Linked DNA regions of Drosophila melanogaster. Each later gene encodes a partner of the first gene's protein in a complex. Each region holds a gene or a part of one and is shown in the gene's direction. Other genes may lie near its edges.

What was found.
Region 2: the proteins of ND-PDSW (region 1) and NP15.6 are in contact, whole or in part, in a cryo-EM structure (PDB 8BA0), measured with the Drosophila melanogaster proteins. Residues at the interface, in NP_651972.1 of Drosophila melanogaster: Trp40, His42, Gln43, Phe45, Thr50, Ile51, Asp52, Ala65, Phe69, Arg70, Arg71, Met74, Val75, Glu78, Ile79, Ile82, Leu83, Arg86, Ala112, Asn115, Trp116, Ile118, Lys119, Ala129, Tyr133, Gln136, Lys137, His138, Arg139, Leu140; in NP_650774.1 of Drosophila melanogaster: Gln101 (codon at 2,467), Phe102 (codon at 2,470), Arg103 (codon at 2,473), Trp105 (codon at 2,479), Ala106 (codon at 2,482), Gln107 (codon at 2,485), Arg108 (codon at 2,488), Glu109 (codon at 2,491), Gly110 (codon at 2,494), Phe111 (codon at 2,497), Leu112 (codon at 2,500), Glu113 (codon at 2,503), Leu114 (codon at 2,506), Val125 (codon at 2,539), Ser126 (codon at 2,542), Pro127 (codon at 2,545), Asn128 (codon at 2,548), Tyr129 (codon at 2,551), Val130 (codon at 2,554), Asp131 (codon at 2,557), Pro132 (codon at 2,560), Ser134 (codon at 2,566), Ile135 (codon at 2,569), Thr136 (codon at 2,572), Leu137 (codon at 2,575), Pro138 (codon at 2,578), Leu143 (codon at 2,593), Glu147 (codon at 2,605), Ile148 (codon at 2,608), Ile149 (codon at 2,611).

Annotation. Positions count from the first base shown.
Region 1 is NT_033779.5:3,464,339-3,468,134, forward strand, and holds ND-PDSW (NADH dehydrogenase (ubiquinone) PDSW subunit), read left to right. Parts: upstream 1-1,818; 5' UTR 1,819-1,996; coding exon 1,997-2,078; intron 2,079-2,448; coding exon 2,449-2,724; intron 2,725-2,794; coding exon 2,795-2,916; 3' UTR 2,917-2,996; downstream 2,997-3,796. Other genes in the region: msl-2 (male-specific lethal 2), read right to left, coding at 1-1,301; Pif1 DNA helicase, read right to left, coding at 3,513-3,796.
Region 2 is NT_033777.3:19,025,282-19,028,525, forward strand, and holds NP15.6 (NP15.6), read left to right. Parts: upstream 1-2,086; 5' UTR 2,087-2,166; coding exon 2,167-2,619; 3' UTR 2,620-2,734; downstream 2,735-3,244. Other genes in the region: CG14285 (uncharacterized protein), read left to right, coding at 13-561, 621-848; GatA (Glutamyl-tRNA amidotransferase, subunit A), read right to left, coding at 921-1,923, 2,834-3,076, 3,137-3,244.

The DNA of each region.
Region 1 (3,796 bases):
AACGACTCCGCATCCTGCAATTCTGTTTGCACATGACCCAATTGTGTTTTTGTGGCAACATGCTCCTCCACTGCTTCCTCCATTTCGGTTTGTGTAGGTGACTGTGAAGTGTGCACATCCAAGTGTTGATCCTCCTCCATGTGCTCAGCTACAACCTCTGACGGGATTGAGGTCCCTTCGGCCTCTTCAACGGTCTCTTCAACCAGAGCCTCATCAGATTCCTCAACTTGCAGATTAGCCAATTGATCAGAGATTTCGTTGGGTTCCTCAGCGGAGGTAAGCACTTCTAGCTGCGTGGATGTTTCAACGGTCTCTTCAACGGTGGTGGAGAGCACAGTCAACTGTGTGGACGTCTCGACGGTCTCCTCAACGGCAGCCAGCACAGCCAACTGAGTGGAGTCCGCCATTTGCACCACCTGGCCGATTTGCAGTTCCTGTGGATCGAACTTCGTGGTCGCAGAAGTGGGCATCACGTAGGAGACAGCAAAGTTGTTGCCGCTATTTGTGTATTTGGACACCGAAACCGTGCCAGACAGGTCTACCTGATCCGTCCACGCTTGGTCCATGAAGCCCGACTCCGAGCTCTCGGTGGCAATGACTATTTGCCCGGCGTGAGAGAGCATGCCCATGCGAGATCCTGTGGGCAGCAGGGGAAGCGGCGAGAAGTGACCCTGCTCCGCTGTGGCCGCCGCCTCCGCCTCAATGTCGCTGATGTTGAGGTGGTGATCATAGGGCAGTTCCGGAGTCGTGACCGCCGACGTAGGCGGCGTCTCTGCGGGCAGCGATGTGGGCATGTCCTTGAGGAACGGCAAATCCGGCTGGGGCAGAAAGATGTCAAAAGTGTCGGAGATGTTTGAGCCCTCGCGAATGAACTCCTGTGTGGTTTTGGGAGGCAGCTTGATGCGAGGCACCAGCTCCCTGGCCACCTGGGGCCGCATCCCGGCCAGCTCACCAAATAATGCCGAGTGGAGCAGGTGGACGCACAGCGTCTTGTAGCACAGTAGCTGGGCGGCCATCATACGGTTCTCCTCGTAGGTCTTGAAGTCGGAGCAACCCTCGCACTGGGTGCAGCTGGGAAACAGATGCTTCTTACCGCGCAGACACAGCCGGCACACGTTGTGCTGGCACCGCTTGCCCTTGGGCGAGTAGGGATCCACCAGCAGCTGGCAGCAGACCACGCAAGACAGCAGCTGCCGTAGCTCGCCGAGCCCGGAGTTCAGCTCCTCCACCCGCCGTTTGGAAAGATTCGAAGCGGAGCGCATCGCGATGCGTGTCACCTTCAAGTATGCCGTCTGGGCCATGATGGCTATATTTTTATGCCCGGGACTGTACGCACGCCGCTGTTTGTTTACGTTTTTCAGCCCAAAAGTGAGACTCCGCTGGCCAAGTAAGTGCCTTGTCGGTCCGACCCACGCCACCTGCTCCGCTACCTGGTGCCTCCTGGGCTAGTTACCTGCAATTCCTCGCCCGTAGGAGCTCAGTTACACATGCTTAGACCGCGTTAATCCTCGATTTCATTATCTAATGGTAACTTTACTGGAACGCTTTTTGTTGGTTTCACTTTTGTGGCTTCGTTATCACTATGTTTCACGTGCAAAAAAAAAAAAAAAATTGGTTTACGTTTGAGAGGTCTCAAGTCATTGTTAATGGTTATGCTGCACACTGTGCAACAGCGTTGAAAACAATAAATTAGCAACTAAAAAAAAAAATTACCCAAGCAATATTTTGCTGAGCGAAGCCAGTGTGACCGCAGTGTGCCAGTGCGAACATGCTAGCTGCAGTGCGGCATAGGTGTGACCACTACCTCGAACAGCTGATTTCAGTGCTCTGAGGAATTTTCGCAGTTACGAACTGCGGTCCTACAACAAATTTTAACACTTAGTTTTTCAAGTAAATATGGTTTTTTAAGTATTTTCCGTCAAAGGAAAGCGGAAAACCTTGGAAATTATTTACTAACAGCTCTTCCGCTTACGCCAGGTGGTAGGAGAGCCAGAAAATGCCGGAACCGCGCAGTCCGATGGCCAGTTTTGCCGAGTCGGTGCTGAATGTCATCGATGGACCCATAACTTGGTTCCGTGGTATGTAGTCCACAGGGATTCCCAATGGCCATGGTCATGGGAGTCTCCAGATGCTGCAAGTTTGCGTTTCCTTTGGCCAACGATCGGAAAAACCGGACAAATTCCAGACAATTACATAATGACATAACCTCAACTCGCAGTCCATTTGTTTTTGTTTACACTGTATTGCTGAAATGCTAAAATGTTTATAATCAACCGTTTTAAGTAATTTCTAGCTAGCGCAAACTAAATCTCTTAGAATACTAGTCGGCAGCCCTTAAATGCCGTCCGTTACTATATAGTTCATCTAGTCAAAGCGGGATCATGTTTTTCAACAGAAATGCATTACAGCTAGTATATTTTATTAATGCGCCTTGTGTTAATCCCACAGAGAGCATTGTGGAGCCGAACCAGCAGAAGCAGAATTGGTACCACCAGCGCTTCCGCCGCGTTCCGACGATCGACCAGTGCTACACGGACGATGCCGTCTGCCGTTTCGAGGCCGATCAGCAGTTCCGCCGGGATCGCATGGTCGACAACGAGATTGTCAACATTCTGCGCCAGCGCTTCGAGGACTGCACCCTCTACGAGGCACCCGATCACATGGTCAAGTGCAGGCCGCTGATGGATCAGTACGAGAAGGCCACCGAGAACTGGTTCATCAAGTGTGAGTGGAATCCCTTACCCATCTTCTTTAAAGTTGTATGTGATATATAACGAGATATAACCCATTATAGATGGCGACTTGGGAGGCTACGCCAATGCCAAGACCGCGTACATGAAGCAGAAGCATCGTCTGATCTGGGAGCGTCGTCATGGACCAGTGGGCAGTGGCATGAAGGAGGAGGCCGCCCATTAAACTCCGCTTTTATGATGATGTTTTCTAGTTTCATTATCCGTTAAAACAAAATATACACGCCGTAAAACGATATTCCCAAGGATTGAGCTTTCTTTCAATTGTTTCAGTGTAAATTATAAGGTAAGAGCTACTAGGAATTATTTATTACTACAGCAGTTTCAATTCATTTGTCTATTAGTTGCATTTATTCTTAGTCATGTTTTTCTTAAAATAAATATTAATATTGGCGTTTGATATAGAATTTTGGCTATAGACTAGCTTAAAACTAATAGTTCTCAAGATTAAGAGCCTTGGTTAAGTTGTTCCAGTGAGTAAAATAAAGTTTTTGCCTGCGTACTGCAATAAGTTTACAGAATATAGTGATAAATCATAAAACTCACACTGTAATTCTTCAGACTTTTTCGAAAATTTAGACAATTTCAAAAAGAGTTCCATAATTTCTCATTTTTTAAAAAAAGGAATGCACAGTCCATAAATCATTTGCTTTTCTTAAAAAAAGAAAAAATTACACTTTTAGAAATAGATACCAATAGATAGGCAATAGTGAAATTTGTTCAAGCTTTCTAGAATTACGCTATCTTAGATTACTTTCGAGCTCAGCTAATCGAGACCAGCGGCTTGTTGATGAGACTCTTTTTGAGCTTAGCCAGAGCGCTATTTGCGGCCTTGTCTCCTGGCTTCTTGTCCTTGTTTTTGGGACCCAATGGTATCATGGTTGTGTCCATTAGCTTGCGTCTGAATCCCTTGTAGAACTGCAGCACGTGTGGATTGGCCCACACTTGCTTGGCGTCAAAGTCCAGGATGCGAATGGACTGCAGGGATTTCGCACGGGATAAGGCCACATAGGCCTGTCCAGCCTCAAATACTTTGGAAAGGGACA
Region 2 (3,244 bases), on another chromosome or scaffold:
ATTCCCCTTCAGATCTGGTCACCGGAACTGCAACTATTGGCCACTGTAAACGCTCACGAGGCGTACATATACTGCATGGCCATTAATCAGCACGGAAAGGTCTACTCGAGCAGCTGTGATGGCCAGGTTCACTTCATGCTGCCTCCCTATGGAGACGAGTCAGTGCAGGAACTATTCCGCTGCGACGACGCCATCCAGGCCATGTACTGCGACGGATCCGTGCTTTACACGGGCGATGACAAGGGTGTGGTGACCACTTGGACCAACGATCGCATGCTCTTCAAGTACAGCCTGGTGGAGGAGGTCAAGTCACTGGCCGGCGAGCAGAATCTCATTTACACTGTTCGCGACCTGGACGTGGTGGTGTCTCAGGTGGCGGAGGGCAAGTCTGGAAAGTACAGCAACAAGGCGGTGATTCCAGGTAAGTCTCCGCTCCATCTTCTCGGGCCCATGGTGGATGGCAAGCGGAGCTATCTGGCCTTTCCCGATCGCTCTGGGATGGGTTTGCAACTGGTCAACAATCTTTCGCAGCAACAGTACTCCAAAATTTGGCACTTGCCGGTGAGTTTCCTGCATATGTCGATCCAAGCTGTAATATACGACTTTTGATCTAATTTTAGGACTGCCATGAGTTGATCATAAACGCCCTTTGCGGAGATGAGACCTATTTGTACTCCGGCGGCTATGACAAAAAGGTTAAGGGATGGACCGATCTGGAAGCAGGAAAGCCAAAAGCCCTGGGCGAGGTGGAGGTGGGCAGTTGTGTGAACAGCATTTGCTGTGGAGCCAACGACACGGTATACATAGCAAGCAGCGACGGATTCATTCGCAGTGCGAAGTTCGTATAATTTTATTGGCCATCTTGTCGTCTCAGAGAATAGAAAACCCTTGTAACAATTAAACAGAATTTATTAAAAGCTTTACAAACTGGCCTTATACTGTTGCGAGTGCTCTAGGCTGTCGAATTCCACCTGCGCCTCTATCCATCGTGCCACTGTGAGCAGTAACTGCTCGTTGAGGCTGTTGCTCATCAGCTGAAGGCTCAAGGGCAATCCGGCCTGGGACAGGCGAATCGGTATAGACACGGCGGGAATTCCAGCCATGTTGGCTGGCTGAGTGCAAAAGTCCTGCACGGCACACTGATCCCTGTTGGTCAGGGAGGCGAAGTCCTTGTACAGCGGAGCCTCTGTAAGAGTTGTCGGCGTGAGAAGGATGTCCACGCGCTCCTCTTTGGCCGAGGAATCAAACACCCTTGCAAAGTCCTCTGCAATAAGGCGGCGCACCCGCAAAGCCTTCTCAAAGTAGTGATCATAGTTCTTTTTCAGCAGCAGAAAGTTTCCAGTGAGTATGCGTGTCTTAACCACATCGTTGAATCCCTCGGCCCTGGATAGGGCATACAATTGCTCCGTGCTGCGCTCGTCTGTTGCCCGATGGCCGTACTCGATTCCATCGTACCTTGCCATGTTGCTGGCCACCTCGCACTGATTAAGAATGGTGTACACGAATATACTTGCTGCCGTATTGGGCAGGGAAACCTGTCTGACGGAGGCACCGCTACACTCCAGCAAATCGGCCACCTTAGACCACGTTTCCAGAACTTCGGCGGAAAGACCGTGGCAATGGTATTCCTTTGGTATTCCTATGCGCACAGTGCTCAGGTCAATTTGCCCAACTTCCGGCAGATGTAACCTGGTAAAAGGCTGCCTGATGGTTGTGGAGTCCAGTTTATCCGGCCCTGCCACTGTATTCAGTACCGCCACGCAATCGCTGACGGAGCGGGCAAAAATGCCGGGCACGTCCATGGAATTGACCAGCGGAATAAGACCGTGGCGGGAGACGAGGCCGTAGGTGGGCTTTAGACCCACCACGCCGCAGTACGAAGCCGGGTTTCGGGTGGAGCCACCCGTGTCCGAACCAATTGCTCTGGAATATAGAAGAGAAAATTAAGAATATATTTTAATATTTATTTCGAGCAAAGTTTCTAGGAATTCAAATTAAAACGGTTCTAGGTAAAATACCGAAAAAATACCGCATCGAGTGGCTACCCTCTCGGCCAGCTGACAAATTGCAGCAAACGTTCACACTGCGCAGCTGTCAGAAGTCCAGCGATCAAGGGAAAACTCGATTATTTACGAAATTTGCGACTGAAATTTCTTCCCCAACGCGATGTCTGCGCTGTTCCGTCTGACCAACCGCGCCGTGGCGCTGCAGCGTTCCCTGGTCGCCAACCAGGCGGCAGTGGTGCGGGCAATCAACACGTCGCCGAAGAAGGATGAGACCATCACGGCCCCCACTTCACTTACGACCGAGGACTTTGCCAATCCGAGTCCCAAGAACTGGCAGAGCTACGGATTCGACTACAAGGACCAGGTGGAGGATCGCAAGGCCACCAAGTCGACGTTCTTCGTTACGGTGACACTGTGCCTGGTGTGGGGCAGCTTCTACTGGGCCTACCTGCCCGACACTCAGTTCCGCAACTGGGCCCAGCGTGAGGGCTTCTTGGAGCTGCGTCGCCGCGAACTGGCCGGCGTGGATTTGGTCAGCCCCAACTACGTGGACCCCGCCAGCATTACACTGCCCTCGGACGAGGATCTGGGCGACACCGAGATCATCATCTAAACATTTAGTGACCCTAAACTTAGTCTGTTATGTAATGCGAATGCGAAGTGCGGTCAGTGCGAGTCCGCTCATAATCCGTTAATAAATCTGCAAGTCTCGCCGTGGACACAGCTGCTTTTTAGCCCTCGGATGATTAATTTTGATCAAATATGTTACATTTTCAACCATCGCGTTTGAGGTTAGGTGTTCAAAACATAAACAAGCTAGTACGTACGCATAACAAAGACCCGCGGCTACGGCGGATGCAGAGCCTCCAGAACTGCCGCCCGCGATGCGCCAGTGATCCTTGTTAAGGTCCTCGCTCCAGATGTTCTTAGTCGGCCCGTACAGGGAGTCCACAGTGCCGGCGCCCATGGCAAACTGATCCATATTCGTCTTGCCCAGAATTACAGCGCCGGCTTGTTTAAGTCTGGAGCACACAGTGGCATCATAGGGAGGCACAAAGTCTTGCAGCATCCTGGCAACGAAGGCTACAAGGATAATATTGCTCTGATGCTGGGTTCTCATGGTCTCCTACCGTGAGGCACAGGTGGTGTGTACATCTTTGGTGCAAAAGTTGTCCTTGATGGCAATGGTGACTCCATCAAGATCACTAATCGGTTGCCTTAGCTTATAGCGCTGCTCC